Linked DNA regions of Neurospora crassa OR74A. The protein of the gene in region 4 interacts with the protein of the main gene of each other region in a pairwise test. Links are inferred from orthologs where the notes say so. Each region holds a gene or a part of one and is shown on either strand. Other genes may lie near its edges.

The links.
Region 1: the proteins of NCU00981 (region 4) and NCU02640 interact in binary tests that used the Saccharomyces cerevisiae proteins (3 or more experiments, as listed by UniProt). The link is inferred for Neurospora crassa OR74A from reciprocal best matches to the Saccharomyces cerevisiae genes NSA2 and CGR1.
Region 2: the proteins of NCU00981 (region 4) and NCU05289 interact in binary tests that used the Saccharomyces cerevisiae proteins (3 or more experiments, as listed by UniProt). The link is inferred for Neurospora crassa OR74A from reciprocal best matches to the Saccharomyces cerevisiae genes NSA2 and NOG1.
Region 3: the proteins of NCU00981 (region 4) and NCU11175 interact in binary tests that used the Saccharomyces cerevisiae proteins (3 or more experiments, as listed by UniProt). The link is inferred for Neurospora crassa OR74A from reciprocal best matches to the Saccharomyces cerevisiae genes NSA2 and DRS1.
Region 5: the proteins of NCU00981 (region 4) and NCU09349 interact in binary tests that used the Saccharomyces cerevisiae proteins (3 or more experiments, as listed by UniProt). The link is inferred for Neurospora crassa OR74A from reciprocal best matches to the Saccharomyces cerevisiae genes NSA2 and HAS1.
Region 6: the proteins of NCU00981 (region 4) and NCU01612 interact in binary tests that used the Saccharomyces cerevisiae proteins (3 or more experiments, as listed by UniProt). The link is inferred for Neurospora crassa OR74A from reciprocal best matches to the Saccharomyces cerevisiae genes NSA2 and PRP43.
Region 7: the proteins of NCU00981 (region 4) and NCU01257 interact in binary tests that used the Saccharomyces cerevisiae proteins (3 or more experiments, as listed by UniProt). The link is inferred for Neurospora crassa OR74A from reciprocal best matches to the Saccharomyces cerevisiae genes NSA2 and EBP2.

What each region holds. Positions count from the first base shown.
Region 1 is NC_026501.1:3,022,670-3,025,893, reverse strand, and holds NCU02640 (hypothetical protein), read right to left. Parts: upstream 1,610-3,224; 5' UTR 1,576-1,609; coding exon 1,491-1,575; intron 1,423-1,490; coding exon 1,277-1,422; intron 1,215-1,276; coding exon 1,074-1,214; 3' UTR 639-1,073; downstream 1-638. Other genes in the region: NCU02641 (hypothetical protein), read right to left, coding at 1-290; arg-1 (argininosuccinate synthase), read left to right, coding at 2,049-2,077, 2,183-2,196, 2,276-2,289, 2,354-2,380, 2,449-2,765, 2,825-3,224. UniProt on the Saccharomyces cerevisiae protein: Involved in nucleolar integrity and required for processing of the pre-rRNA for the 60S ribosome subunit.
Region 2 is NC_026504.1:5,445,681-5,449,654, reverse strand, and holds the start of NCU05289 (nucleolar GTP-binding protein 1), read right to left. Parts: upstream 2,801-3,974; 5' UTR 2,609-2,800; coding exon 2,577-2,608; intron 2,521-2,576; coding exon 2,491-2,520; intron 2,390-2,490; coding exon 2,361-2,389; intron 2,296-2,360; coding exon 2,278-2,295; intron 2,208-2,277; coding exon 2,064-2,207; intron 1,962-2,063; coding exon 901-1,961; intron 830-900; coding exon 185-829; intron 92-184; coding exon 50-91; 3' UTR 1-49. Other genes in the region: NCU05290 (orotate phosphoribosyltransferase), read left to right, coding at 3,230-3,931. UniProt on the Saccharomyces cerevisiae protein: Involved in the biogenesis of the 60S ribosomal subunit.
Region 3 is NC_026503.1:3,109,707-3,114,460, reverse strand, and holds NCU11175 (ATP-dependent RNA helicase drs-1), read right to left. Parts: upstream 3,089-4,754; 5' UTR 2,918-3,088; coding exon 1,190-2,917; intron 1,133-1,189; coding exon 371-1,132; 3' UTR 234-370; downstream 1-233. Other genes in the region: NCU00234 (hypothetical protein), read right to left, coding at 3,575-4,754. UniProt on the Saccharomyces cerevisiae protein: ATP-binding RNA helicase involved in ribosome assembly.
Region 4 is NC_026501.1:6,508,607-6,512,742, forward strand, and holds NCU00981 (ribosome biogenesis protein NSA2), read right to left. Parts: upstream 2,272-4,136; 5' UTR 2,088-2,271; coding exon 2,085-2,087; intron 1,968-2,084; coding exon 1,949-1,967; intron 1,873-1,948; coding exon 1,587-1,872; intron 1,442-1,586; coding exon 1,000-1,441; intron 933-999; coding exon 897-932; 3' UTR 608-896; downstream 1-607. Other genes in the region: NCU00980 (hypothetical protein), read right to left, coding at 2,967-4,136. UniProt on the Saccharomyces cerevisiae protein: Involved in the biogenesis of the 60S ribosomal subunit. May play a part in the quality control of pre-60S particles. Under normal, rapid growth conditions, high levels of NSA2 would allow the progression of pre-60S particles through the ITS2 processing.
Region 5 is NC_026502.1:4,196,290-4,200,800, forward strand, and holds NCU09349 (ATP-dependent RNA helicase has-1), read left to right. Parts: upstream 1-1,594; 5' UTR 1,595-1,737; coding exon 1,738-3,354; intron 3,355-3,423; coding exon 3,424-3,543; 3' UTR 3,544-3,819; downstream 3,820-4,511. Other genes in the region: NCU09350 (aspartic-type endopeptidase), read right to left, coding at 4,349-4,511. UniProt on the Saccharomyces cerevisiae protein: ATP-dependent RNA helicase involved in 40S ribosomal subunit biogenesis. Required for the processing and cleavage of 35S pre-rRNA at sites A0, A1, and A2, leading to mature 18S rRNA.
Region 6 is NC_026502.1:2,956,583-2,961,346, forward strand, and holds NCU01612 (pre-mRNA splicing factor ATP-dependent RNA helicase PRP43), read left to right. Parts: upstream 1-1,609; 5' UTR 1,610-1,833; coding exon 1,834-4,032; intron 4,033-4,098; coding exon 4,099-4,224; 3' UTR 4,225-4,711; downstream 4,712-4,764. Other genes in the region: pp-2 (protein arginine N-methyltransferase HSL7), read right to left, coding at 1-602, 686-820. UniProt on the Saccharomyces cerevisiae protein: Pre-mRNA processing factor involved in disassembly of spliceosomes after the release of mature mRNA.
Region 7 is NC_026505.1:3,393,320-3,397,427, reverse strand, and holds NCU01257 (hypothetical protein), read left to right. Parts: upstream 1-1,830; 5' UTR 1,831-1,886; coding exon 1,887-2,841; intron 2,842-2,968; coding exon 2,969-3,324; 3' UTR 3,325-3,608; downstream 3,609-4,108. Other genes in the region: pheromone mfa-1, read left to right, coding at 56-130. UniProt on the Saccharomyces cerevisiae protein: Required for the processing of the 27S pre-rRNA. Probably involved in the step of the processing of the 27 SA precursor into the 27 SB intermediate.

The DNA.
Region 1 (3,224 bases), about 3.5 Mb from region 4:
TTCCCCTTTTCGCGCTCCCTTTCTCGGCCCCTGGATTTGTCCTTGTCCTTGTGCTTTTCTTTGTCTTTCTCTTTCTCCTTCCCGAGGCGGTCGCGGTTTGATCGATGACGATGCAGATGGAGCGAAGACGGCAATTCGGTGATGGAGCGAGTGATTTGGTGTCGCTGACGATGTGGAGAGTGGGATCCTCCTTTGAGCCCTTCGACTCCATTCGGGGCGTTCGGAAACATGACGGCACTCGAGCGGCTTTCCTTTTCTTTATCGCGCTTTATCTGGTGATTCCGAGACATACCAAAGTGTAATGATGCGTAATAACGCCAGATTAGAGTACCTCTACGGGTAGGCAAAAAGTGGAGGTGTAAGCCAGGATGTACCTAAAGTCGACGGGGCCACTGACGTTGCGACGACTCACAGAGGTGCATCGCGGCGGGGACGCGGCGCAGGGGACCAATGGCACTCACTGCCCGGTGACGGGAAGCCGGCTGCCTTAACGATCCTTTCGCGGAACCTATCCAACCTGTGCAGGGGTTGCTTCACTGGACATGTGAACTGAAGCAAAATAACCACAACCAAAGTTTGTCACGAGAAGAGAATCACCTGGAAGATGGGTTTCAAGTGGCTGCAAAGCCACCAAGAATGGTAATGGTAAGCTTTTTGTTATGTTCCGTGTAAGAATTGCTTGGGGTATCAGAATATTGCTGTGGTCCCTTATCACCCGCAGTACCTAGTCATTGATGTACGCCTTTCTTTTTGGCGTTGTTTTTCCGGGTTGTTTCTCATCCATCCGCCCTGTCCGCTGAGTTCTTCCTGACAAACCACGGCCTTCCGTGGCTGCTGCGAACTTCCAACTCCAATTATGCCATGCCATTATAGACACTCATTCAAAATAAAGTAACGCCGCTACCATCATATTTGCCGAGGAAGACGCCGCGCTGCGAAGGGGGTTTGGCTTTCGTCTTTCGGGCATTGGTAGAACGGCGAGGCCGGTGATTCGGTTCGGTACCCATCGTTGGACGGAAAGGAGTGAGACGTGGTGTTCCGCATGTCCTGAGTGCCGTTCACAGCCTCCTCGTTCAAGAGTTGATAAGCTTGTTGCGCTTCTCCTTGCGCTTGAGCCTCTCCACCCTCTTCTTGTGCATCTTCTCGGCCATCTTCTCGTAACGTTCCTTCTCCTCCTTCTTTGCCCGCTTCTCCTTGAGGGCTTCGATGCGTCTCTGTGTGGAAATGATGGATCAGCCCCTGGCATCTTGTCTCCCGGATTCGTATTTGCACCAACCTTGCGCTCAGCCTCCTTCTCATCCTTAAGCTCCTTCTCCTTAGCCTTGACAGCCGCAAGCAACTGCCTCTCCTTTGCGCGTTTCTCATACGATGTCAACCCGGAGCCGGGACGGAAGGCCTTTTTGGGGGCGTGCCATTGCTTTCCTGTAGGATAATGGCAATTAGTACTTCATTCGACCTAGGATGGCAGAACGTAACGGACAAAGACTTACCATTGACCCTCATGCCAAGGGGCTTGGAAACCGCCTTGGTCTCCACCTGAGACGTTGTTTGTGTTGTTGTGGTAGTAGAGGACATTGTTGCGAATCGTTAAAGTCGACCAGCAATCCGTGCATTAGCTGGGTTTGATGCAGAGCGTTGTGACGGCGATGCCAGACGCAGAACTACCAAAGGCGGTCAGTGAATGCGGTCGCACTCGAGCAGAAAAATTTGGACGGCAGAATTGGTTATCGGGCCTGTCGTTGCAACGTTATCGCTGAGCGGGTCGTAGTATGGAGAACAGGCGTTAAAACTGCGGGGCGGACCCTCGTCACCCTTGCTTCCGGCATCGATGTGCCTGGTCTCATGTTGATGGTGACTGACGTTGGATCCCAGGGTCTGCCCCGCAGTGATAAGATAAAGTGACTCAGTCGACTGTTTGACGCTGTGGGAGACACTAATAAAAAGCCTCGAGTTGCCGCCCGATATCGCCTTTGTCTTTCTTACAAGATCAAGTTCAGGAACTGTAACTGTCGAGAGTAGCCATCCTCCGCAAGCACCAATCCGCCAAAATGTCTGAGTCCAAGGGCCGCGTCTGTCTGTAAGTAACACCCAGAGCAGTGTTGAATAACGTCTGGTGATTCCACTTGTGGCACAGGCTATTCTGGAGCTTTGACGCCTGACTGACAGTCCCTCCCGTTCATAGCGCCTATTCCGGAGGTACGATCCTGGAGCTATACAACACAAGAGATCCGCCTGCCACGAATGCAATTGCTCACCAATTGATCACCGTATACAGGTCTTGATACTTCCGTGAGTCCTCCTGAAGCTTCCCTCTGATCTTATAGAGCGCATTGACTGACATCTGTGACTGCAGACCATCCTCTGCTGGTTGATTGAGCAGGTAGAGAAAACCAACCAACCCCCGCGCTCCCCTCCCGAGCTGTAATATTAACCCGAGTGACTCGACAGGGCTACACCGTCGTCTGCTTCCTCGCCAATGTCGGCCAGGAGGAGAACTGGGATGAGGTCCGCGCCAAGGCCAAGAAGCTCGGTGCTGAGGAGATGGTGATCCTCGACCTCCAGCAGGAGTTCGTTGACCAGATCGTCTTCCGTGCCATCCAGTGCAATGCCATCTATGAGGACCGCTACCTCCTCGGCACCTCCCTCGCCCGCCCCATCATTGCCCGTGCCCAGGTCCGCGTTGCCGAGCAATACAACTGCGAGTTCGTCTCCCACGGCTGCACTGGCAAGGGCAACGACCAGGTCCGCTTCGAGCTTGCCTTCAAGTATGCTGATTCCCTCCTCTTGAGCCTCATCCGACGCACAAACACTGACGTGACACCAGGGCCTGCAACCCCGAGATCAAGGTCATTGCTCCCTGGAGACTTCCCGAGTTCTGTGCTCGCTTCCAGGGTCGTCAGGATCTCCTGAAGTACGCCGCCGACAAGAACATCCCCGTCTCCTCGACCCCCAAGGCCCCTTGGTCCATGGATGACAACCTTGTCCACTGCAGCTACGAGGCTGGCATTCTTGAGGACCCCAACCACACTCCCCCCAAGGAGCTCTGGACCCGCACTGTTGACCCCCAGGACGCCCCCAACACTCCCCAGGAGTTCACCATCGTCTTTGAGAAGGGTATCCCCGTCAAGGTCATTGTCGATGGCAAGGAGACCACTGGCTCTGTTGAGCTCTTCAAGCTCCTCAACAAGATTGGTCACGACCACGGTGTTGGCCGTGTCGATATC
Region 2 (3,974 bases), on a different chromosome or scaffold from region 4:
ACACACCCAACCCAACCCAACCCAAACATATATGGATCATCGATCCAAATTAACGACGCTGTGTCTTGCCGACGGTACGCTTGCCGGAGAACTATAGAAAACATGTGTGGTTAGTTTAGGAATGAAAAGAGAAAAGAGAAAAGGGGGATTGAAGGAAGGGGAAAAGAAAAGAAAAAAGACGTACCAAATGCTTGGGCATGGTAGCACCAATATGCCTGTCGGCCTCGCCGGCTCTGGCCATCCTGTTCATCTTGCGCTGGCCGAGCTTGGCCACCCTCTCGGCCTTGGAGCGGGCTGTCTCCCCGTCCATGCCCACACCACCAGTAACACCGTCGTCGCGCCTGTTTGTCGCGCCCTGGCCACGCTGGGCCGGACGGCTCTGAGAGCGAAGACGCTCGGCGGCGCTCTTGGGCGTGTCCACCTCCATGGCGTCGGGGTCCTCGGTGGCGTTGCGGCTGCGGGCCAGCGAGCGGCCGCGAGTGGGCTCGCGCACCTGGGCACGGCCGCGCAGGTTGATCTCCTCGGTGTCGACGCCGAGCTGGTCGATGTGGTCCTCGAGCTGGGCGAACGACTTCTTCTGCATTTTCCGGGGGATTATGGCGCGGTTCTTGAGCGACTTCTTCATCTTGGCCTCGTTGCGGATCAGCTTGTGCTTCTCGCGGATGTACTCGGCCTTTTGCAGGATCTCCTCCTCCGACTCGTCGCCGAGGTCCGAGTCCGACTTGTAGAAGCCCTCCTTCTCGAGACGCTCCTCTTCCTCTTCGAGAGCGGCCAGCTTGGCCTCGATATCGGGGTCGATGAAGTCGTAGACGTTCTTGCCGTCGACAATCTGTTCGTCAAAGCGTGACATGTTAGTAACCGGGTTTAATTTGGGGGAGACGGAATGCGAGAGATACTGACCTCGGGAATCTTGTCGTACTTCCACTCGGGGTTGGCCAAGATCCAGTTCTCCCTGAGATCGACGTTGAAGACACCAGCACCACCGTTCTGCTCCTCGATATCCCTGGCGAGAAGTTTCCTCTCGGGGTCGGCCTTGTCGTACTTCTTGAGACCCTTGACGGCCTCGGGAATGAAGGTCTCGCGGAGAACACCATCGGCGGGCTGGGCGACGTGAATACGGGACATGACCTCGGTGAGACGGGAGCCCATGGTGCCGTTGCTGCTGGTACCGGCCTTGTACTTCTGGTTGACACGCTCAACGAGGAGAGCCTCGCAAACGGTGTTCTTGACTTCCTGGACACCGTCCTGAGTAGCGCAAGAGGCGCGCAAAAGCTGAATGTTGCCGGACTTGGTAAGGTCCATGAGATCGGCCTGGGATTCGGGGTCGAGGTCCTCAACGGTCTTGATATCCATCTTGTTCAGGACAACGTAGACCATCTTGTTCTCGAAAAGGGGCTTGATGGACCTAAACAAGTTGCACTGGGCCTTGAGCGAGTAACCGCACTGCTCCGAGATATCGATGAAGAACATGACGGCGGCTCTGAGATGGGCAAGGGCAGTAACTGACTGCATTTCGATGGTGTTCATCTCTTCGAGAGGGTGGTCGAGAATACCAGGGGTATCGATGACCTGGTAACGGAGGTACTTGTAGTCGAGGTGGCCGACGAACAAGCTCTTGGTGGTGAAAGCATAGGGCTCGACAGGGGTATCAGCGCGGGTGACGGAGCGCACGAACGAAGACTTGCCGACGTTGGGGAAGCCGGCAACGAGGAGGGTACGGGTGGTAGGGTTGATATCGGGCAATCTGGCCAAATGCTGGCGGACCTGGTCGAGGTAGGCGAGAGGGTCTTTCAGACGCTTGATGAGGGTGGCCATACGACCGAGGGCGGCTCTCTTCAACTGCTTGCACTGGTACAAACTTTGCGAGTACTTGAGGAGACGGACGTAATCACGAGAGATGGTCTCGATCAAGTGCTTGGCGGTCGAGACCTGACCAAGGGCAACCTTGAAGTGGTCGGCATCTATCCATCACCTTGTCAGCCACTATTCCCAACAAGACCAGGCGCGGTTCACAACCCGCTGTTGCTGAAACCGCCTGTCGCAGGGAAGCGCGGGATTCGTACCGTAGAGAATGTTCATCAAATCGCGGTGGAAAGGATGCTGGTCGGCGAGGATGGGGAAGCTCGAGACGATGGCGCCGAACTTTTCGCTGCATGTTTCCTGTGTGAACTTGACCTTACGGGTGTAGAAGGCTCTAATTCTGCTGACTGTTCGGTGTCGCGTGTCAATGATCTATTCGAATTCTCATACAAAGTATCGGATATCGAGACGACATACTCTTGAAACCAGCACGAACTATTCAAAGTAAAGGTTAGCGATCATGCCATGCTTCACGTAATTTTCCACATTGTACAACATACTCTGAGTCGGCAAGCGACGCTGTGTCCTCCTGTTGAACAGTTAATATCCTTCACCACCGTGGCCAAGCCATTGGACTCGAACTCGAAGACTTCGCATCGTCGTGGTTGGGGGCTGCCGATGTCGACTTACGAGAGGATGATGTCGATGAATTCCTGTGCCCTGTAGAAGCGAGTTAGCGATGCCAAACAACAACACAACAACCAAGATGTCCTTACGTAGGCACAGGGGCAATGTCCTTCCACGTCATTTCGGGTATAGATGTCAAGCACTTGCTGGTGAGAAGATCTCGGACTGGAAGTGCAGGACAATGAGGTCGGACGGACGGTCTGAAGGATAGAGACCGGCTGCGGGGGGAGGGGGCGGTGTTGGAGGGCGACGGGGAGGCGCTGCGCTGCCAAATGGAAAGTCTACTTCGAAATATTTTTCCAGCGGCTGCTCCAATCGATAAGATAACAGCAGAGTGCCAAAGTGGATTGAACCTAGAGGTAGTGTGCGCTGCCAAGACATGCTGCCAAGGGGTGCTTAAGGATTCGGCTAGTGTGGAATTTAGGATTTTCTAACCCCACATTTTTTCAGGGACCCCACCGCGCCCAAGTGGCCGATGACCGGGCTTTCGCGGGCCTGGCTCCTGGAACTAGGTGGCCCACTCGTAACCCACCATCTGATTGACTCGGTTGAAAGACTGCCGCGTGTGACGCCGCCAGGAACTGAACCCTTCCTTCGGCCCCTCCCTCCATTTTCTCAATTTTCCCCAGGTTCCTCCAGCTATTCAGTTGCCAGGCAGACAGACGTCAACGCTGTTCTTCTGAAATCTCTTCTTCTTCTTTCAGCTTCAATTCCAATCCTACAAACACTACGTACCAGCACAATGGCCGCTCTCTCGCCTTACAAGGCTGACTTCCTCAAGGCCTCCATCGACGGCGGCGTCCTCAAGTTCGGCAGCTTCGAGCTCAAGTCCAAGCGCATTTCCCCCTACTTCTTCAACGCCGGCGACTTCTACCGTGCCGACCTTCTCCAGGCCATCTCCACTGCCTACGCCAAGTGCATTATCGAGGCTCACAAGAGCGGCCAATTGGACTTTGACATTGTTTTCGGCCCCGCCTACAAGGGCATTCCCCTCGCTACTGCTGCCACCGACAAGCTTGCCCAGCTTGACCCCGAGACCTACGGCAAGATCTGCTACTCTTTCGACCGCAAGGAGGCCAAGGACCATGGCGAGGGAGGCAACATTGTTGGCGCCCCTCTGAAGGGCAAGAGGATCCTCATCGTTGACGATGTCATCACTGCTGGCACTGCTAAGCGTGAGGCTATCGCCAAGATCGAGAAGGAGGGCGGCATTGTCGCTGGCATCGTCGTTGCTCTTGATCGCATGGAGAAGCTCCCTGCCGCTGATGGTGACGATAGCAAGCCCGGCCCCAGTGCTATGGGCGAGCTCCGCAAGGAGTACGGCATTCCCATCTTTGCCATCCTTACTCTGGACGACATCATTGAGGGCATGAGGGGTCTTGCCTCCCCTGAGGACGTCGAGAAGACGGAGGAATACCGCGCCAAGTACAAGGCTACCGACTAAACGCTGGAGTTGGATTCTCTGATAAACTAGTAACATGTATATC
Region 3 (4,754 bases), on a different chromosome or scaffold from region 4:
CGAGGAGTTTTCATGTCAATTGCAGCTGCCTGTTATTCAGAGACATCATCCATGGCAAGAGACAAATCACTTCCGTTTACGTCACCCGTACCTGCCGCCGTGACACCCAGGGTCCAGCTTCTGGGTGGGTCAGTCGAGCTCGCCGCAAGGCCCCCTGATCCGCAACTCCACACCCAATCATAGTCCCATGTGAAGAGGCAAGTCTGACCTTGATGATCACGACTCTCTTTGCTGAGGGAAGCAGACAACATCATCAGACAGCTTCTTATTTCTTTTTGCCCACTCGGGTATCAAAAGCACACTAGACTTAGCTTGAAGCTCAATTACATTTAGAAACTCAACAACAACAACAGAATCGTGCTCCTCACATTTACTTTCTCCTGCCCTTGCCCTTACCACCCTTACCAGCATTGCCGCCCTTCTTCTTAGGCCCAGCAGACCGTCCCACCTTCTTGACGACCTTCTTGAGGTTCAGCACCGCGCCCTTACCGGCTCTCTCGGCGCTGCCCTTCTTGTATGTCCTCTCCTGCTTGCGCTCTTGCATGGTGTCGAGCTTCTTCCTGTCCTTGTTGCTCAACTTGCCCTCGTTCTTGGACTTGAGCTTGTCCCTGACGCCGTTGAGCTCGGCCCGGCCCGCCGCCTTGGCCTTCTTCTTGTCCTCCTGCGTCTCGAACCACGTGCGCTTGGGCCTCGAGCTGATCTCGTCCTCGTACTTGATCATGTTCTCGCCCTTCTTGACCTGCATCTCCATGTTCTGCAGCTGCTTTTCCTCCTTCTCTTCCTGCATAATCTCCTCAATCTCATCTTCCAACTCGTCGATCTCGGCCTGCCACTTGTCGGCGTCCGCGGGATCGATGATGCGACTGCTGATCTTGGCGCCCTGAGACTTGCCGGCCTTGACGGCAGCCTTGACGACCTTGCGATCGGGCTCAGCAGCCAGGGTAATAGCGGTACCGCTGCGGCCCGCACGCGCTGTACGACCGACACGATGGACGTAGATCTCGGGGGTCTGGGGAGCCTCGTAGTTGATGACGGTGTCGACACCCTTGATATCAAGACCACGTGAGGCGAGATCGGTGGCAAGGAGGAAGTTGACCTTTCCATCTCTGAAGTCCTCGACACTTTGAATACGCTATGGATCCTGTTAGTATCACTCATCCATCTGGAGCATCGTAAATCGTAAACATACCTGAGCCTGGTTCATGCTACCGTGCAACTCGGCGCACGACAATCCAAACAGACCAAAGATGATCCTCATCTTGTGCGCAATCTTCTTTTGTCTGAAGAAGATAATGACACGCTCCGTGTAGATAGTCTTGCAGATGTGCAACAGATATCCTTCCCTCTTCGATTCGCGACCGGGTCTGAGACGGACAAACTCTTGAACAAGCGTACCGGCAGTCTTCTTCTGCGAATCGGCCATGATGCGCACAGGCTTGTTGAGACCGGCGCGAATGAGCCTGTCGACAGACGACGTCATGGTGGCAGAGAACAGCATGGTCTGGCGGGACTTGGGAAGGGTGGTAAGAATCTCGTTCAACTCGTCCGCGAAACCGTCCTCGAGCATGCGATCGGCTTCATCGAGGACGAGAATCTCGATGGTGTCGACGGCGAAGCTGGCAGAGTTGCGCATGTGATCGATGAAACGACCAGGAGTGGCAATGACCACATCCGGGCGAAGACGGAGCTCGGCCTCTTGCACCTTCAGACTGAGACCACCGACAGCCAGACAGAACTTGATGTCGGTATGGCTGGCGAGCTTGACAGCGACAGCGTGACACTGGATAGCCAACTCACGGGTGGGCGTAAGAATAACGACGCGGGTGGTGGGAACCTTCTTGGGACGGTAGAGGAGACGCTCAAGGATGGGAACGACGAAGGCGGCCGTCTTACCGGAACCGGTGACGGCACCACCGACGACATCCTTACCCATAAGCGAAATGGGGATGGTCTTGGCCTGAATGGGCGTCGGCTTGGTGAAGCCCACGGAAGTAAGACCGCGAAGGATAGGACGGGAGAGAGACATCTCCTGGAACGAAGACATCTCGCCCTTCTTCTTAGGCTGATTCTCCTCCTCCGGCGCAAAGAACTCCTTCATCTTGGCCTCCTCCTCCTCATCAATACCCTCTTCATCATCCGATGACTGCACATCATCAGGATGCTCAACGGCCGTAGCAACCGAGTCATCATCCGACGCATCGCCCTCGTCTTCATCCTCTCCCTTCTTCTCCCCATCTTCACCCTCACTATCCTCATCCTCCCCATCAACACCCCCCATCTTCGCATCCTGCTTCTCCTCCTCCTCTTCCACGTCCGACCCAACACCCATACCAAAAGCATCGTCAGCCAAGACACCATCCTCATCATCATCCAAATCCACATCAATCTCTTCTATGTCGTCTTCTTCCTCATCAACCTCCATCTTATCCTCCTCCTCTTTTGTCGCCGTGGTTTTCCCCTCCTTAGCAGCCTTCCTCTCTCTCCTCCTTCTGATAATCTCATCGATATCCACAGCCTTCTTGTCCCCGCCCGCGTTGGCGCCCTTCACAACACCCTTGTGCGCGCCCTCGAAACCCCAGCCGTCGAACTCGGCGTCCACTTCGTTCTGGCCGTCGACAACGAACTGGAACTCGGTATCCATGGCGCCGTCGTCTTCGTCGTTGTCGCCCCAGATGCCGAGGTCGGCGGCGTCGTCTTCTTTTGTTTCGGCTTCGTCGTCGTCATCTTCAGTCTGTTGCTGTTTCTTGGACTTCTTGTTGTTCTTCTTCTTTTGCTTGTTCGATTGTTGTGTGGCCGTCTTGGCCTTCTTCCTGGGTACAACTTCTTGCTCCTCTTCTAGTGGGATGTCTTCTTCATTGTCGGAAATGGTGAGGATGAAATCGTCGTCGATCGCTTTGCGCTTTTGGGAGGGCGCCATTGTGGTGGATGGTGTTGCAACGGTCTGTGACCGTTGTTTGTTCTGTAGTGTTGTGTTGGAAAAGAGAACGACGGGAAGCTCCCGATGCTGAGTGGGAATTGGTGGAATCGTCAAGATTGTACAACTGATAGCAGTCAGTGGGGTCTTTTTTCGTCTCTTCCTCCGCCGCAGAACGAAAGGGAAAACAAAAATTTGGGAACCATGCCCGTCTGTAACTTTTTCTGCCGGGCGGTCAATGTGATTGGAGGATCTGGGGATCTTATCAGTGGCAGCTGGTCGACAGCTGCGGGGATGGGTACGTACCATCTCAACTATCAAGTGAGTACCTGCCGTCTTCGGGAGCAACTCGTTCAACACCACATTGTCCCAAGAAATTGAATACGCGTTCATGTTATAGAGCCAGAGGACCTTGTCCTTACTACAGTAGGACTATATTTATACTTGTGCGGGGCATATGGTCCAGCTATTCTCAACGCAGATGTATCAGCCCGTATTATATGATGATACTACACAGGAGTCATCTACCCCGTCGATACCCAAAATGAACGCCAGACACCTTGCCAATGGTATAATGCTAATCCTCAAACCTTCGCCTCCAAAACATCAGTTGCCCACAACGTAACTTTCTTCACATGGACCGCCACATTATCACTCGTGCTACCGTGTGGAGAAGCTCGCCGACGCTCCAAGGAAGTCCTGGTCATGCCCCTGGTCCTGCTGGTAAGTCTCCTTCTGCTTCTGCTTCTTCTTCATTTCAGCGCGGATTCGTTCTTTCTGCGCCTTCAAATGCGCCATTTCAACATCATCCAGCAAGAATTTCTGCTCATCGATATCCCTTCCACGTCCGGACGCGGATGCTTGCGGGTAGAGAGGGTCTCGTTGATATCCGTCACCTGGCAATTCGTGCTCAACAATATCCCACGTAGCATGATAGTAGCCATCTTTGGTTGGTGGCAGCTCAGCATGCGCCCTTGGCTCCTCCAGCTTACGGATCGCGCCGCTTTCCATTGCAGCGTACTCCTCTGTCGATGCGTATGGTGGTAAAGGACCGTTATTACTGGCGCTCGGGAGATCAATGTCCTCCCATGGATGTCTCCTTTCCATCAGAGATGCGGGTTCGCCTTGTAATTCAACTCCTCTAGGTGGTCTTTCAATCATAGACTCGTCGGGAGGCACTGTAGGCGAAGTCACAGCTGGAGTGGGCGTTACTCGGTTGGGTCCATATGAGACGATTAATGGGGGCTGTGGCCGTTGGGTTTGTGAGGTTGTTGGGTTTGGTCGTGGGAGCGTAGTAGGAACTGAAGGAAGAGGAAGATGTGGTGTTGAAGTTGGAGCTTCGGTTGGAGGAGGGGTGGTGTACTGTTCGTAGTTGTGGTAATCGGGGTAATAGCCACCGAGAGGTGCTGCGGAGGCCGCAGATAACTGGGGCAATGAGGGCATTGGGGGTACTCCAAGCCGGCTGTCAAGGGAAATCGAGTCGGCAGCAGCGCGTTCATTAAGTTCTCCCCTGGAGCTTGCCCGCGGCGTTAGCGTGGGAGTGACAGGGTTCGGCCCGTATGACGTAGGAATTGGCTGGACAGTCTTTGCGCGGGCAGCTTCGAGTTCTCGTCCGGTGATGCTCAAATTTTCCGTCACCCCAAGCCCGCCTCCAAGTCCTGCTCTCTCCGTACTTCTCTCCCACGCACCTCCTGTTGCAGCATCGTGACCCCAAGGTCCTTGATTGTATGACCATGAAGGCGAATGTGGCATCACAGGAGAATGGCCGTATATGTCGCTGGAATTGTTTGACCGTACATCATCATAGCCTGTTGATCCAGGATATCCGTCAAATACTGGC
Region 4 (4,136 bases):
TTCCGGTTGTTTACCTTACCTAGTTTGGCTTAGTTGAAAAGCTGGTTTGCACATTCTCTGGTAGATTTTGGCTTCAAGGAGAGGGTGACTACGATGCATCTTACCGATTCCTGCGCTTTCCCGGGGCCATTAAAGCTAGGATCCCGAGACATGGGCAAATCGCTTCTTTATATCGCTTCGAGTAGCTCTTCGTTGGTACGGTATCAGCGTTTCGTTGACCGTTGAGTGGTGGCAAGTGGGCTTGAAGAGTACAGAAGTTACTCGTCGGTCTGGATAGAAAATACCTGCTTTTGATTCTTGGAGGCTGGGTTGACCCTGGAGTGATGAAGCTCGGAACTGCTCTCCTTCTAAAATCAAGATACAGAAGACAAGCTAGATGCTCTGAGCTGATGTAGAAGTCAATGTGTTGCCCTTGCGTTAGTTGCTTGCGGTGTTGCATGTCAAATCGACCAGCAAATTTCCATCGACTCAGGATGCAGGGTTCCATACAGCCATTTAGACCTTTGTAAGGTTAATCGCTTGCCAGCATAGTCTGCTCGAAACCCATGGGAGTCAACCTAGATCAAGCGCAGCAGCAACCAGAGAAGATATATCTATGTGTCTTATCGTATTAATCCATGTCTTCTAAACCATCAGGTGATACAATCAACCAAAACAAATGATCGGAGGGTATAATGTTCTACCGCAGATTGTGTGTGTATCTTAACCACTATACTACCTAAGTGAACCCCCGGACGAGATATTTTGCGCGGCCGTGAGTGTCGATCCTCTTTCAAAACACCAGACGCCAGTCCCAGATGCAAAATCAGATTTAACGCAATCCCGTTACAGTTGCCGCCCAAGAGACTAGACATATAATTAGACAAATCAAACCATCACCCTCTTCACTCTTGCGCTTAAACCAGGAGCACAGCGTTCAAGCATCCGTCGTTCTGGTGGAAGTTAAGTATTAGCAGTTCGTCCATGTAAAGTTAAGAGGCGGGGTTGTGCTGGTCATACCTCAGGGTTGTTGGTGATCTGCGCATAACGACCCCAGGCAATTTTGCCCGACGCGGTGACCATACCAAGATCGGAAACGTTGACCTCGATAATAGTACCCTTGGACAGAACACCAAGCTGGGTATAAAGGGGGTTGCTGGGGTTCTTCTTGACGCCGAGAATGGGGAGCTGAACCGTGACATTGAGGGTAGGGTGGGTGACGTTGGCCTTCTTGTAACGGAGACCCATGGGCCGGATGAAGCGTTCGTACTTGACTGGGCGTCTGGTGAAATCGGGTCCGACGAATGTTGGCTTGGTGACGACGCGCTTCCAGCCCTTCTTGTGCACCTTCTTGCCCGTCTTGACGACCTTGAAAAGCTCCTCTTCGCTGATACCCTTGACCTTGGGAATAGGGACCGAGAAACGAGCGGCCTTCTCGGCACGCTTGCTCTTGATCTGGGAACTGCACGAAGAAAACGGTCAGTCTCTCGTCATCGTATGGGACCCTTTCCAACCTCCATGACTACTGCCATCATTGCATTCACATTGGCCTCCACCTCCGCCGCGGCCGTTCGCTTCTCATGTGTCCTCCCATTCAAGTGACGTACCTCAAAGCCTTCGCACTCGTGGGGTTCGAACGGTCGAGCAGATAAGCGGGAACGGGGTTCGAAGGGTCCTTCTCCTCGGGGGCGCCCTTGACATTGCGCTCCTCGTGCTGCTTGATGGCCTTGCGCATCTGGATCTTCTGGGCATGACGCTCCTTGGCAAAGAGCTTGGCCCTCAGGCCACGCAAGTTCTGTGCATTCTCGCTCTGCTTGTGACCCTCACGGGCAGCCTTCTTGCGTGCGCGCTCCTCGGTGTCCAGACGCTTACCGTGAAGCTTCTGGGCGCGTTCTGCGAAACGAAATAATTGGTTAGGGACTGGAAACAGGTCGACGGTAATCAAGATCGAGTGCGAAGGGAACTATACCGATGTATTCGTTCTGAGGCTGTATTCAGGAAAACGTCGGTTAGCATGGTCTGCTCTCAAGTGATCGGAAGGGGTCATGATGTTGAGGAGAGTGGCTGTGGATTGGGAGGGCAATTCGAAGAAATGATATCCGTACCATATTGGTGTTTTAGGCCCTTTGAGGGTCTTGCGGTTCAAGATATGTGGCGACGCAATCTGGCCTTCAGATGTTGTAGGGCGACGAAGGGCGACGAGAATGACGATGCGGTTTAGGTCAATATGCTTCAGTACCTCTACCTATGCGAATGCCTGCTGAACGGACGTCTTGAAGCCGATAAAAAAACCATTCAAGGCTAGCTTTCCTTATCGGGCGGCTCCTCCAGTGGCGGAGACCCGTAAAGAGGTGGACATAGTGGGGCAGCTTCATCACCTGTCATTGGTTGATATCTACTTAACAGCATGTCCAGGAAAACGTGGAGTGGGTTCGGATGAAGGTGCCTGCCAGCTGCAGGGCATTGGAAGTGCACCGCGGCAGCCAGAGCCGCCCGTTGAGGACGAGAACCTTGATGGAAGGCCAGTGGACAACTTTTGTATAGATCCGGAGATCACCTTACCATTCGTAGAATGGCTCCTGCAACTAGGTTATTACCAAGGGACACTAGTTGTGTGGCTCGCATAACCCGCTTCAACGAGCACAGTAGGTATGTCAACAAAGGCAAAACCCAAAGACGTGGTATGCTTGGGGGTGTTAAGATATCTAGATATGCTACACCGTGTCATGACAACCTATACTATAATTCGTCCGACGGGCTCTATTGCCAGCCAACGCCCGCCAATGAAACCGGAATCCGTGCAAAATGACTAAACTCCAGACGCTGATGCAAAATGTTTCTGGGTGTCCGTCCTGTCTTCCAGCCAACGCCATTGCAAAACCGTCTCCAGAAAACGAATTCCTGCCTTGAAATTATCACGATGCGCCGAAACCTTCCCAATTTAGAGGCAAAAGAAAGAAGGAGACACGCCACGCAACCACGACATATCAGCGGTCTCCGGCTCTGGACTTGAGTTTTGCAAGTGCTGCCCGCTTTCTTTCCTCCTTCTCGCGCTTCAACCTCTTCTCCAGCGCCTCCTGCTCCATGTCTTCTCTGCGAGCCTGCAACTCTGCCCGGCGTTCCTCCGCGTCGATGTCGGACAATCCCGCCTCCATGTCTGAGTCATCCTCTTCCAGTGACTCGTAACCACCGCGACGACCATAGCCGTAGCCATCGTCCTCATCTTCGTCGTACTCGATGAAATCGTCCAACTCTTCATCCTCCTCCTCGCGTCTCCGGGGACGTGAGAATGAGGCGCCATAACCGGACAGCCCACGGCCCCTACTTGCGCCTGCCGAGGTGGATGCTCCTGGTTTTGTGGTGGTGGCCCCTGGGCGGGGACGTGCCGTGCCTTGGTATCCAGTCGTCGCTAAAGCAGCCTTCTTTACCTTCTTCTCCTCCACGGCATTTTGGCCTGTCTTGGACTTGGCGCCAGCCGGGGCTGAGGGGGTGATACTCCGCTGACGGTTCGCAGTCGTGCCGTTGGTACCATTGCGGGTTGGCCCAGCTGTCACACCGCTCCTCCCGGTAGTCGGTGGCCTTACATCCTTCTTGCCCTTTTTCGCTTCCTCGGCCTTTAATTCCTTGCGTTCCTTCAGCGTCAACTGCTTCTCCACCTTCTTGTGCTGAATCTTTCCAACGGATGACAGCATGGGCTGATTGGCCTGGGCCCTTGCCATGATCTCTGCATAGGAGCGTTTCTTCGGAGGTCCAGAGCCGGCGACAGGAGCGCTAGGGGCGGGTCGGCTGACGAGCGGTCGCGAAAGTGGAGCCTTATTCCCATTCGAGCTTGTTCCTCCCACCTTTGACTGCGTCGATGTGGTCTTGGTTGACACCGGAGCTGTTAGTTTCGTGGTCGAACGTGGTTGCGCGGTGCCGGTGTAGCCAGTTGTTTTTTCTGCGGGACGCGTTGGGTTCGCATTTCCTGTGGGGCGCTCCGTCGGTCGGTCGGCGGGGCGCGCTGTAGAAGGTTTCGATACGTTTCCATTCGGCCGGGCACTTCCATTTGTCGCTGGTTCGGTACGCGGGGCCTTTGGCGCAGAACCTCGAAGGTCATCGTCGGCCTTCCGTTTAGATGCTGTTGGGACATCTTTCGTCGAGATCGATGATGACGATGG
Region 5 (4,511 bases), on a different chromosome or scaffold from region 4:
CTATCTGCGTACTAGGAGATGCTCGTATGACTAGGCAAAACGACCAAGCATTGATGTTCGGTGTTGATGAGTTCCATCGAACGAAACCTTTTACTGACTAAAAGTCTTGTTGTCTAGTTATCTATCGGTTGTTATGGCAAGCAAGAAATGATCCAATGACATCTCCCCTTACTTGTTCCATCCATGTTTGTCCTCTGCTCCCATAGTCCAGCCCTACAAGCAAGGCTATACGTAGCTCGAGACCCCATACCTTGTTTACTAGCCAAAGTCAATCGCAAGGGGCAAGCGGGAGCTAGGCAATTCGAAGCCAAATTACCAGCCCGATCGGCTTGAGCCGTGTCTACGCCTCCTGGGGCACCACTTGGCAGCAGAAAGACGGGGAAGTGAGATACAGAGTGTATCGAGATTTAACATAAACGTGGTTTCGATTCAAGAACCAGAAGTTCTTGTCCGATTTTATTTTATGGGATGCCTTCTGGATTGTTTCCGTGATGTCTGTCCGTGGTGTTGAGCGAGTGGTGTTGAAGAATAGGGCCATGGGACCAGATTATATCATGAACATCAACTTCCGTGCTGATACCTCCCATTGGAACCATTCTCAGCCTCAGATCGTGGAAAGATGCGACCCAAGGCAGCAGTGAGCCAAAGACCGAACCACACTTGTGACTCGGTCAACTCCATGGAAAATGATCATGTTTTCATGTAATAAAGGTGTTGTTACTTCCGACGTGACCAAGATAGCATCCCGTCAGCCTTGAGAGAATATGAAGGATTCCGAAGGGGTTCATGAAACTTCACTTCAGCCAATGTAATGATGCGAGGATATTGATCTGCCATGTGTACTGTTATGTATCGACCCAGGGGCCTCTCGGCGAGTGACACTTCCAACCCAGGGACCTGGATTCGAAGCTGACTGGTACGTTCCAATCTTGCGCCCTGTATCCCGCAGACGGGGTAAGTTTCCAGCTGCCCCGAATTATCGATTATCGATCAAGGCAACCCGTAGCCTGACTATGGACTTGTGTCAAGGCCTTCGAAGTCGTCCGCTGGACGGGAACTGCAAAGTCCACCAGGCTATTGACTGGTCTGTCTCAATCCACTAAACCTTTGGAATAGAAATGTAACATAAGAAGAATACTGCAATGCCAGGATCTCAGAGGTACTGTACAGCGTTTGAATATCCGCAGTGTAAAGCAATGCCACCATGGACGACATCCAGAGCCTAATTCCGTGAGAGGGACAACGAACATGAAAGACCGACTACACGCGGTTACGTTGAGTATATCATGTCTATGACAGACTGGAGTAATTGCAGGAGAGGTGAAAGCGTTGTGATAATAAACGAATATCAGAGAAGAAAACAACATAATGCGGATTTGAAGATAAGAGGAAATGGACAAGTTCAGTTCTCGACTCTCGCAAGCAATTGGGGGCACAATTGGCGGGTTCCGGGGTTCGGCTGATCTGCAGTCAAAAGTGGGGTCAACACTGGGACGGCTGTAGCGCACAGACCAGGTTTTCATCAGGAGAAGAGGGCAGAATTGGCAAAATTTTCACCGCCTGGTGTAATCCCTGGTTATCGAACAAGCGATAAGAAAAAAATCCCCAGCGAAAGAGAAGGCAGAGGAAGGATAACAGATTCGACTCGCTGGGAATTTGAACGGAACCATTGCGACGCCCTTTTCCCAGAGTATCGCAACCACCCACCGACAGTACCAACCCCCCCACGCCATCACGATGGCTTCCGAATTTAGCAAGAAGCGCAAGCTCAAGGACGCCAAGATTGCGACCGAAGATGGCGCCGCCACCGACAAGAAGACCAAGAAGGTGAAGAAGGACAAGAAGGAGAAGAAGGCCGCCGAAGAGGTCGTCGAGGACGCCACCCCCGAGGAGGAGAACGATGCCCAAAAGGCGGAGGAACAACAAGATGGCGACGAGGTCATCCCCACCGGCAACGGGGACAAGGAGGACAGCGACGACAAGGACGCTGAGGCCGGCGACGAACTCACAAAGACCAACGACTCCCTCATCGCCCCGTCCATCGCGACCAATGCCACCGACTTCTCCGAGCTCAACCTGTCCGACAAGACCATGAAGGCCATTGCCGAAATGGGCTTCACCAAGATGACCGAGATCCAGAGGAGAGGTATCCCGCCTCTGCTCGCCGGCAAGGACGTCCTCGGTGCGGCCAAGACCGGTTCCGGCAAGACCCTCGCCTTCCTCATTCCCGCTATCGAGATGCTCAGCTCCCTGCGCTTCAAGCCGAGAAACGGTACCGGTGCCATTGTCGTCACTCCTACCCGCGAATTGGCTCTCCAGATCTTCGGCGTCGCCCGCGAGCTCATGAAGAACCACTCCCAAACATACGGTGTCGTCATCGGCGGTGCCAACCGTCGTGCTGAGGCCGAGAAGCTGGGCAAGGGCGTCAACCTGCTCATTGCTACTCCCGGTCGTCTGCTCGATCACCTGCAAAACACTCCCTTTGTGTTCAAGAACATGCGATCGCTCATCATCGACGAGGCCGACCGTATTCTCGAGATTGGTTTCGAGGACGAAATGCGCCAGATCATCAAGATCCTGCCCAAGGAGGACCGTCAGACCATGCTCTTCTCCGCCACACAAACCACCAAGGTTGAGGATCTCGCCCGTATCTCGCTCCGTCCCGGTCCTCTTTACGTCAACGTCGATGAGGAGAAGCAGTTCAGCACGGTCGAGGGTCTGGACCAAGGCTACGTTGTCGTCGACGCCGACAAGCGCTTCCTGCTCCTCTTCTCTTTCCTCAAGAAGATGCAGAAGAAGAAGGTCATTGTCTTCTTCTCGTCCTGCAACTCGGTCAAGTACTACTCCGAACTTCTCCAGTACATCGATCTTCAGGTTCTCGATCTCCACGGCAAGCAGAAGCAGCAGAAGCGCACAAACACCTTTTTCGAATTCTGCAACGCCAAGCAGGGCACCCTCATCTGCACGGACGTTGCCGCCCGTGGTCTCGACATCCCCGCCGTTGATTGGATCGTCCAGTTCGATCCTCCTGATGACCCGCGCGACTACATTCACCGCGTCGGTCGTACCGCCCGTGGTAACAACACCAAGGGCCGTTCGCTGCTCTTCCTCCAGCCCAACGAGTTGGGTTTCCTCGCCCATCTCAAGGCCGCCAAGGTCCCCGTTGTGGAATACGACTTCCCCAAGAGCAAGATCCTCAACGTTCAGTCCCAGCTGGAGAAGCTGATCGGCCAGAACTACTACCTTAACCAGAGCGCCAAGGACGGTTACAGGTCGTATCTCCACGCCTATGCTTCGCACAGTTTGCGGTCGGTGTTTGATATCCATAAGCTTGACTTGGTTAAGGTGGCCAAGGTATGTTTTCTCTTCTCTCCCTTTTTCTTCCCCAACACCAGAACAGTCACTAACGTACTACAAAAACAGTCCTTCGGCTTCTCCACCCCTCCCAGGGTAGACATCACCCTGGCCTCCAGCATGTCGCGTGACAAGAAGCAGACGAGCAGGAGAGCGTATGGTAGCCAGCCGAAGCAGAACCGTCACTAAGCGAGGCGGGATTCGGTGTTCGTGTTGTTGTTGTTGTTGGTTAGAATACGAAAAGGGGATGATGATTTGTCAATGTTCTCTCTTAGATATCCATCGGGCATTCGGTGTGGAGCATAGTGGGTGTTTTCTTTTGTGTTGCTACTTTGCTGTTTACTTGTTGTTGTTTGCGCAAGCTGCCAAGGCGTTTTTGGTTGAAAAGTAAAACTGGAGGGCTTCAAATCAACAATTAATTTTTACTTTACGTTGCTGCTCCGTTGGTGTGGTATTTCTGATGCTGTGCCGTTCGGTCATCTCGGGTGTCTTTCCATGTGAGGATGGAACATATTATCATGCTGACAGTTTCATTTGATAAATGGTAAGAAAGACCTTGAACAAACCACATCATATCTATTTTGCTACGCAATTGGAAAGATCGTGATGTTGATATGGCTGATGGAAAGCATGGAGGTCCTGAGTGTCACTCTCTATCAAGGATCCTTTGTAGGGATTCATAATCAATACCCAAATTAGGTAGCTGACAACCGGTACCAACTCAACACTAACCTCCAACAACAAAGCATGAAACAACCCACTGATGACAGTCTACTATTTCAGAACGACCTACATCGATACCTATTCTATCTGCAGCCCCAATCGACCCCCCGAACCTGAACTACATAACAGACGGAAACTCCCCGACACAAACCAACCTAACAACTTTACCAAATTTCACCTCGTCCCCAATATCCTCCCCTTCCCCTTTCCCAATATCCTCTCCTTTCCCTTCCCATCACTTCCCCTCCCTCACATATCCCTATCGACAAACTCAATAAAACTCCCTCCCCAAAAACCTCATCTTCCCCCTCCCCACATCGAAAACCGTCAAGGCATTCTGCATAAACACATCCCCCAGAATATACGGCCCGGCCCCGCCGTCCGCAATGGCCGTCATGCACAGCCCCGTCAACGGATCGACCATGTCTTGATTG
Region 6 (4,764 bases), on a different chromosome or scaffold from region 4:
GTGTGCCAACTGTCCCAGGTGCTGAAGAGATCGATCTCGGTGCCCTTGGCAGCATCGGTCTTGACGGTCTCCTTGGAGTTGGAGCTGCTACTACCGTCACCAGCAAGGAGAGAAGAAAGCGTCTCTGCCTCCTCCTCCAAACCAGGCTCGCGGTACATGGGCAAGTGAATGACCAGATTCACACGACCACCGACTTCCTGAGCCTCCTGAATGGCACGTGCATACTGAGCAACGGCACGGCCATCGTCCTGTCTTGGGCCGGGGATAATGATGGTCCTGGAGCCGCAGAAGTTGGCGTAGGCGAGCTCGAGGTTCAGCACCTGACGGGAGATGTCTGAGATGATGGGATCGGCAGAGCAGAGGTCGATCCATGGGCTGGCATAGGCGATGAGCGAGCCAACATAGCTGCTGGGAAACAGGGATGTATCGTCGTCAGTCAAGGTAGGAACCGTAGGAAGTGGCAGCGACGGGTTGGCCTTTTGGGCGTCAGTGAGTCCCCGTTCGGTGACCCACTGTTCCCGTTCTTGGAGATGGCTCTTGTACAAGTCGATCACGCGCTGGTGAAAGTGCTCGTTGGTGATGGGGGTGGTGACAAAGTTGAACTATTCTCATCTCATGTGTGTTAGAATTTATGCTGTTGCTCGTTCTTCTTTCTCTTCCTACTTTAATGTAAGGAAAGACTTACACCACTGTCCAAGATCTGGCCGTACTGATTGTCAGTGGGCGACTCATGTCGTTGGACATCATGCTGGCCAATGTAAAAGGGCGGCCGTTGCTCGAAAGACTCGGACTCGGGGTTAAACCCGCGATTTGAAGACATGATGAGTGAGTGACTGGACTTTTATGTGAATCCGAGTGAGTGAAAGAGAGTGGACGAGACTAGAAGTAAATAACCCCGCGATGGTCCAGGTTAGGTTTGAGGTGGTACGAACAGCAGCGGGAGGGGTACGGAGAAGGTAGCTATACTAGTCTCTGGGGCCTGTATACAGTAGAAGAATGTATAGGCTGTACTTTGATGAGGTATCGGACCCAATCACAGGGAAAATTGTAAAGACTGAAATCAAAGTTGGATGGTACTTTTTTTTTATTTTTCCCAAAACGGACTGACCCCATGGCAGTGGATATTTCCAGGGAAGAAGCACCAGAGGAAAAAGTCCAACCTCAACGGTCACCAACTCGAAATAAACAGGTATGGAGGGGTATAGATGGATAGGTACATGGAAAATGAAATAGCTGAGTGAAAGAAAGATTGCACACAAACCCAATGCGCCAAAAGTCACAATGTCACAATGTCACAATGTCACAAACTTCATCAACCTGCCTGCATTTTGCCTCTTTTTTTCTTTCTTTTTTTTTTCTTCTTCACGTGCAGCAGGAACAAACTGAGTGAACCTGACAGTTACAGAACAGTGTAGAAAATTACCGTCTTAGTGCCCATCAGGGTCCTGTCCAATGCTACAGTGATTTGCTTATCAGCGCTTGCCAAAGACACTCCTTACTCCACTGAAGCTTATCACTGTGACCCCTCATTGGTCGAGAGTCGCTGCGGCCAGGAACTGCCGGCCAGGTCTGACCTATCGCCCTGACATCAAACAAAAAAAAAGTTGTAGCCTCGCATGCCTGCCCACTGCCCTCCCCTCCACTCTGTTTCGCTGTTGTTCATCACTGCCACTGGAGGTGCCATAATCGACACTCCGCCTTCTGTTTTGCCTATCGCCGCTTCTCTTCTTCCCCTTCAGTTCGGTCTTCTTGTTTTGTTTCCTAGTACCCACCCCTCTCGCTCGAAGAAACAAGATATAAAAAAAAGGCCAGCTGCCCTCGGTCGGTACCACAATGGCCAGCCACGACGACAAAGGCGTCAAGAGATCCAACATGGACGGCAACGACCAGGACTCAAAGCGCATCAAGCGTGCCGAGAATGGCGATGCTGCCCCCGAAAAGTACAACCCCTACCTCGCCCATCTCAACGAGGACGGCAACGGCAACGGCACCAATGGCGACTTCGAATCGCCCCTCGACGCCTTCGAGAGGCACAAGACCACCGCCGCCCAGGCCGCCCAGGCCGAGGACTCGGAGCTCAACCCGTGGACCGGCCAGCCGCACTCGCAGAGATACTTCGACATCCTCAAAGTGAGGCGCGACCTCCCCGTCCACAAGCAGCGCCAGGAGTTCCTCGACATGTACCACAACACCCAGATCCTCGTCTTCGTCGGTGAGACGGGTTCCGGAAAGACCACCCAGATCCCCCAATACGTCCTCTACGACGAGCTCCCCCACACGAACGGCAAGCTCATCGCCTGTACCCAGCCCCGAAGGGTGGCGGCCATGTCGGTTGCCCAGCGTGTCGCGAACGAGTTGGATGTCGAACTGGGCCAGGAAGTCGGTTACAGCATTCGTTTCGAGAACCGGACCGGCCCCAAGACCATGCTCAAGTACATGACGGATGGTCAGCTCCTGCGCGAGTCCATGCACGACCACGACATGTCCCGCTACAGCTGCATCATTCTCGATGAAGCCCACGAACGTACCCTCGCGACCGATATCCTCATGGCCCTGCTCAAGCAGATCGCCGCCCGCAGGTCAGACCTCAAGATCATTGTCATGTCTGCCACGCTCGATGCCCAAAAGTTCCAGTCCTACTTCTACAACGCCCCATTGCTCGCCGTCCCCGGTCGTACCCATCCCGTCGAGATCTTCTATACCCCCGAGCCCGAGCGTGACTACCTCGAGGCCGCCGTACGGACCGTCCTCCAGATCCACGCCACTGAACCCGAGGGAGACATCTTGCTGTTCCTTACTGGTGAGGAGGAGATTGAGGATGCTTGCCGAAGAATCAGCTTGGAGGTGGACGACATGATTCGCGAGTCGGATGCTGGCCCCATGAAGGTTTACCCTCTTTACGGCACTCTCCCTCCTGCGCACCAACAGCGCATTTTCGAAAAGGCCCCCGAGCCCCTGCGCAAGGGTGGCAGGCCTGGTCGCAAGGTCATTGTCTCGACCAATATTGCCGAGACGTCCTTGACAATCGATGGTATCGTCTACGTCGTCGACCCCGGTTTCAGCAAGCAAAAGATTTACAACCCCCGCTCTCGTGTTGAGTCTTTGTTGGTTTCTCCTATCTCGAAGGCCTCTGCTCAGCAAAGAGCTGGTCGTGCTGGTCGTACACGGCCCGGTAAATGCTTCCGTCTTTACACCGAGAAGGCTTTCAAGAAGGAACTTATTGAGCAAACCTATCCTGAAATTCTCCGATCCAACCTGGCCAACACTGTTCTGGAGTTGAAGAAGCTTGGTGTTGAGGATTTGGTACACTTTGATCTCATGGACCCTCCTGCGCCCGAGACCATGATGCGCGCCCTGGAGGAGCTTAACTACCTCGCCTGCTTAGATGACGATGGTGAGCTTACGCGTCTCGGTGGTTTGGCTTCCGAGTTCCCGCTTGACCCCGCCCTCGCCGTCATGCTTATTTCGTCGCCCGAGTTCTACTGCTCCAACGAGATCCTTTCCATTGTGTCCCTCCTCTCCGTCCCTTCGATATGGGTACGCCCCAACAACGCGCGTAAGCGGGCCGACGAGATGAAGATGCAGTTCGCCCACCCCGACGGCGACCACCTGACGCTGCTGAACGCCTACCACGCCTTCAAGGGTGCCGAGACCAATGGCGACGACATGAAGCGCTGGTGCCACGAGCACTTCCTCTCATACCGTCACCTGTCGAGCGCCGATAACGTCCGGGCTCAGCTCAAGCGTATTATGGAGACGCACGACATTAGCCTGGTCAGCACGCCGTTCCAGGACAAGAACTACTACACCAACATCCGCCGCGCGCTCCTGGCTGGCTTCTTCATGCAGGTGGCCATGCGCGAGAGCAGCAACAGCAAGGTGTACAAGACGGTCAAGGACGACCAGCTCGTCATGATCCACCCGAGTACGTCGGTGACGAGCCCATACGACTGGGTCGTCTATAACGAGTTCGTTCTCACAACCAAGCAGTACGTCAGGACAGTGACCAACATTCGTCCTGAGTGGCTTCTTGTACGTATTCCCCTTTTATGAATTCCCTTTGTCAATGGCATCTTGAAACTGACCTATGTAAACCAGGAAATTGCCCCCGTCTACTACGACCTCGATACCTTTGAGAAGGGCGAGATAAAGTCGGCGCTCACTCGTATCACCGACAAGGTCAAGCGGAGGCAAGCCATCAAGGGCAGCGGCAGCGCGCGTTAGTGGCGTTGTAGAGACAGGAAGAGAAAGAACAAGTCTTCTTCCGCTGCTGCTGTGGTAGCTGATGGTAGTGGTCGTTGTGAAGAGACCAAGGATACCGAGAAAGAGAAGCCGAGTCGCCCGCCGCTCGTACACGTTACGGAGAACATCGCCCGCACCGGTGCGACCTCTTCCGCCGGGAACAGCAATGAGAAGCAGGAGAAGGAGAACTTGAAGATAAAGAAGAGGGGGGCGAGGAGAGGGCGGCGTCGGGGTGGAGGTAAAGATAGGGAAGGAAAGAAGATGGTGATGGAGGGGCAGTAGTAATCCAAGGTATATTATACCTACTTACCGGTGCCTGGATCCGGATTCAGAAGGGAGGGGGGGAAAAGGAAAAAAGGAAGAGGAGTTTTATTTTGGCATTTGGCATATGGACTCTGGGAAGAGAGTTAATTGAAATTTTTATACCGTTTTCTATCAACACAATCATGCATGCATAATCATCCTCCATCATCTTTTATCGCCGGCATTCCCTGTGTCTGTGGGTCTGGTTGGTCTGGGTTA
Region 7 (4,108 bases), on a different chromosome or scaffold from region 4:
CTCATCCCACAACAGCCTTTGAATCCATTCAATAAACAACCCACAAACCATCAACATGCCTTCCACCGCTGCTTCCACCAAGGTCCCCCAGACCACCATGAACTTCAACGGCTACTGCGTTGTTATGTAAATAACCTCACAGCGCCTTGAAGGGCCAACGAGAGCATTGAGAGGCAGATACCAACCAGCTTTCCTTCAGCAACCTTCTGGCAAACCACCCATCTCACCTGAGTGATCCTGTTCTCGCAACATCACTCGATGAGAACCAGTGAAGATCGGTATCTCGCCTCTCAACGTCAGACCAGCAATCTGCTTTTCCCTCTATCATGATTGAAAAGCCCACCTCTCGTTCCGCCACAACAGCAACCTCGCCTAGGAAGCTTCTTGTCTCTGCTTCATGGTGGACTCTGCACAATGGGAGCACCCACTGACAACATCCGGAGCGGTGAGGATCTTTCCTTGATGGGAATGGAAAAAACCTTTGTCAACCGGGGATATACATCCGCACACATCACACACACCATCCTTTCACATAAACGACTTTCGCTTCTTTTTGTTGGGGATAACTTCACACGGGACTACTTTTCGTCCACACGGAGCTTTCCCTCTTCAATTTTCGACACTCAGGCAACTCACCTTATCTTTCTGGACCCTTTCTCTCTTTTGTCGTTGATTCGACACCAAACACCCTTTGCGGACTGAGGACATCGCCGGCGGGAAACGATGCAGCAACTTCTCTTTGGTTCACACTCTTCGGCAAACGTCACCTGGGAGTCGGCGGACTCACACCTTCCAACCTCAACCTCTTCCATCTGCTGGGAGGGAGCTATTTCGCGACATGCTTCTCTCTTTTGTTGGGTGGGACTTGCACGGGCTTGGGTATGGCGCTTGGTTCACCACTCCTTTTTCTTTGCGCACTTTCTTGGAATTTTCTTGGATAGGACTGTAGAGGAGGGAAGTCTTCCTTTCTGTCTTGGCAGGGAGGGGGGACTCGCGGGATGAAATTTGTGGAGGGGGAGGACCATGTGGGGAGTTTTCACTGTATCTTTCTGATCTTGGTTTGCGGAGGGGAGGGATTGTGGGGGTGAGTTGGCTTGGTTGAAGGATTTGAAGAGTGTTAGTTCTTTTAATAAAAAAAAAACCCCGGTTGACACCATATCTTTGGATGCTCTCATGACCGTGACTACCTCTATGATTGTGAATTTCATTATCATCGTATGCCTCTTCGTAAGACTTTTCAGAGCAACTGACTTTAGTGATAAAGCTGTCAACTTGCAAATGGAACGCTTGATCGATCATCAAGGCAAGATACGCGGAGGAATGGCCTCGGCTCCGAGAAAATATACTACATCCCATTACATGTATCAGCTCGACGTCCCAGACATATTTCTGATCTGTTTCGGCCAGGTTAGGTTCGTGATGTTTGCGCGGGACAAGGCTCCTCCACTGAACGCGAAGTTTGATGTATCAGGAGACTCGTGTTGAATCACCTTGACACAGGCTGCGGGTAGCTTACGAGAAACTGGGCAGAGATACACAGGGCATGGTGATATACACTAGCAATCAATCTTGAGATCACCGAGAAAACGCAGTTCGGTGGGTGACCATCACCGTGACTACAGGCCCATTGTAACTCGTAACCTGAGGGTTGGGGTTTGATGTGCCAGATTCAGAGAGAGTGTGAAGGGCACTTCCAGGAGCTGGGCTGTGGATACCTCTATGCCGGGCGCCAAGCATCCACATTTGGGTCCGCCTCCGACCCACCAGGCTTATCTTATCGGGTAATGGCAGCCGCCATGTCAAAAAAAAGTTTCCAGAACTGCAAGCGCTGCCGCTTCTCGAGCTCATCATCCAAATCGATTGTACAGCAACCCCACATAATCACAATGCCGCGACAGTCCACCCGCACAAAAAAGCCGGCCACCAAGGCTCTTGAGGCTGAGAAGATCGAGAAGATTGTTGAAGAGAAGCCCCAGAAGGAGCAGAAGAAGCGTGGCAGAAAGCCCAAGCAGGTCGTCGAAGAAACCCCTGTAGAGGACAAGATGGATGTCGAGGAGGAGCAGAAGGCGGAAGAAACCACCACTCAGACCAAGGCCGACGAGAAACCAGAGCAACAGGAAGAGGCCGGTTCAGATTCTGAGGAGGGTAGTGACGACGAAGAGGACAACGATCTCGATCTTGATGCACTTGACGAATCCGATTCCGACTCAGAATTCGAGCGCGACCTGAACGAGAAGCAATCCGCCGCCGGCATCCAGGCAAACAAGTACCAGAAGGCCGCCGAGGAATCGAGCGACGAGGAGGAGGACGAGGATGAGATCGACATTGATGAGCTCGACGTCGACGGAGAAGAAGGAGAGGAAGTCAAGGCCATTTCGAGGGCGCGCCAGACAATAAACAACAAGCAAGGTCTCCTGACGGCGCTCAAGCGCTTCGCCCTCGACACAACCGACAAAGTCCCATTCGCCTTCCACCAGTCCATCGTTGCCAAGAAGGTGACGGAGGAGTCCATCCCCTCGATCGACGACGACCTGGCCCGCGAGCTGGCCTTCATGAACCAGGCGCTCGAGGCCGCCCGCGTCGGCCGCGCCCTCCTCCGCAAGGAGGGTGTCCCCTTCACCCGCCCTACCGACTACTTTGCCGAGACGCTGCGCAGCGACGAGACTATGGAGAAGGTCAAGGCCAAGCTTATCGAGGAGGCCACGGCCAAGAAGGCCTCGGCCGAGGCGCGCAAGCAGCGCGACCTCAAGAAGTTCGGCAAGCAGGTGCAGGTGGCCAAGCAACAGGAGCGTGCCAAGCAGAAGCGTGACACACTCGAAAAGATCAATCTTCTCAAGAAGAGTACGTGCCTCTCCTACCCTTCTCCTTCCCCTTCCCTTCTTAATTCCATAACAAGTTCTCTTCCTCTTCCTTCCCCTCCCCAACTTGATGATAACTGAAGCCAACTAACCTCCGCCTCCTTAAATAGAGCGCAAGGACGGCGGTGGCCCCACCGGCGCCAACGAAGCCGAAGACCTCTTTGACGTTGCCGTCGACAACGAGCTCAAGGGCGGCCCTGGCGGCAACAACAGCAAAAAGCGCGGCCGCGACGGCAAGGAGGGCGGCGGGCCCAACGCCAAGAGGCAACGGAAGGATGCCAAGTTTGGCTTCGGCGGCAAGAAGAAGTACGCCAAATCCAACGACGCCCTCTCGTCGGGCGACGTGAGCGGGTTCAGTGCGAGGAAGATGAAATCGGGCGGCCCAGCAGGCGGCAAGCCCAAGAAGTTCAAGCCTGCGCCTAGGCCTGGTAAGGCTAGGAGAAAGGCGGGGGCTGGAAAGAGGTGAAGTGAGTAAGCTTCACTGTGGCAGGAGCGAGAAGAAGCAGTGGAAGTGAAGAGCGGTGTCGATGCCATGATGGGTAATCTGTTTAGTTTCCAACCTAGTACAACAAAAGGTCAGCACGGCAGGTTGGTGACAAAGGTGGTAGTAGCGTGTATGAGTATACATCATCATGGGACCGGTCATACAACAAACATCATTGAAGGATTCAGATCAATTCAGTAGCCACTACCTTTACTTAGATACCTAAAGAGTTCTTTTCATGCCTTACAGTTTGATGGTGTTACCCGCTTGGCTCAAAGGTCCTTTTCTCATATCATTCATCTTGCAGAATGGCTATATCCGTTCACCCGAACAAACGGGTTCCTTACTTTCACCTTCATTCAAAGGCCCCCGATGTCGGCTCGTGAACAAAAACAAATCTCGGTCACTACAGTTTGTGAGAGTATCATCCTGTCACGGACGAGCCGCGCAAGGGCCATCGCTACTTTAAGACTAGGTACTTCAGATACACTAATACACGAGACATCCCCCTTTCACTCCTCGAACCCGCATGGTAAGGGGTTTGATGCGCAACACCATCGTAACGCCTGCTTGCTGCTATTCATCGAGACGAGCCTAAACCCAAACCCAGATTCAGACCCAAATAGACCTGGGAAGACCCATAACCACCAACGCCAGACATAGACCCGCCTTTCCTGAAGCTACAAGCAAATAGAAGAAAGAAACAACAACACAAAGAGCGGCTCATCCAATTCAACCCCACCGCTGTGTGGGATTAGGACGAAAA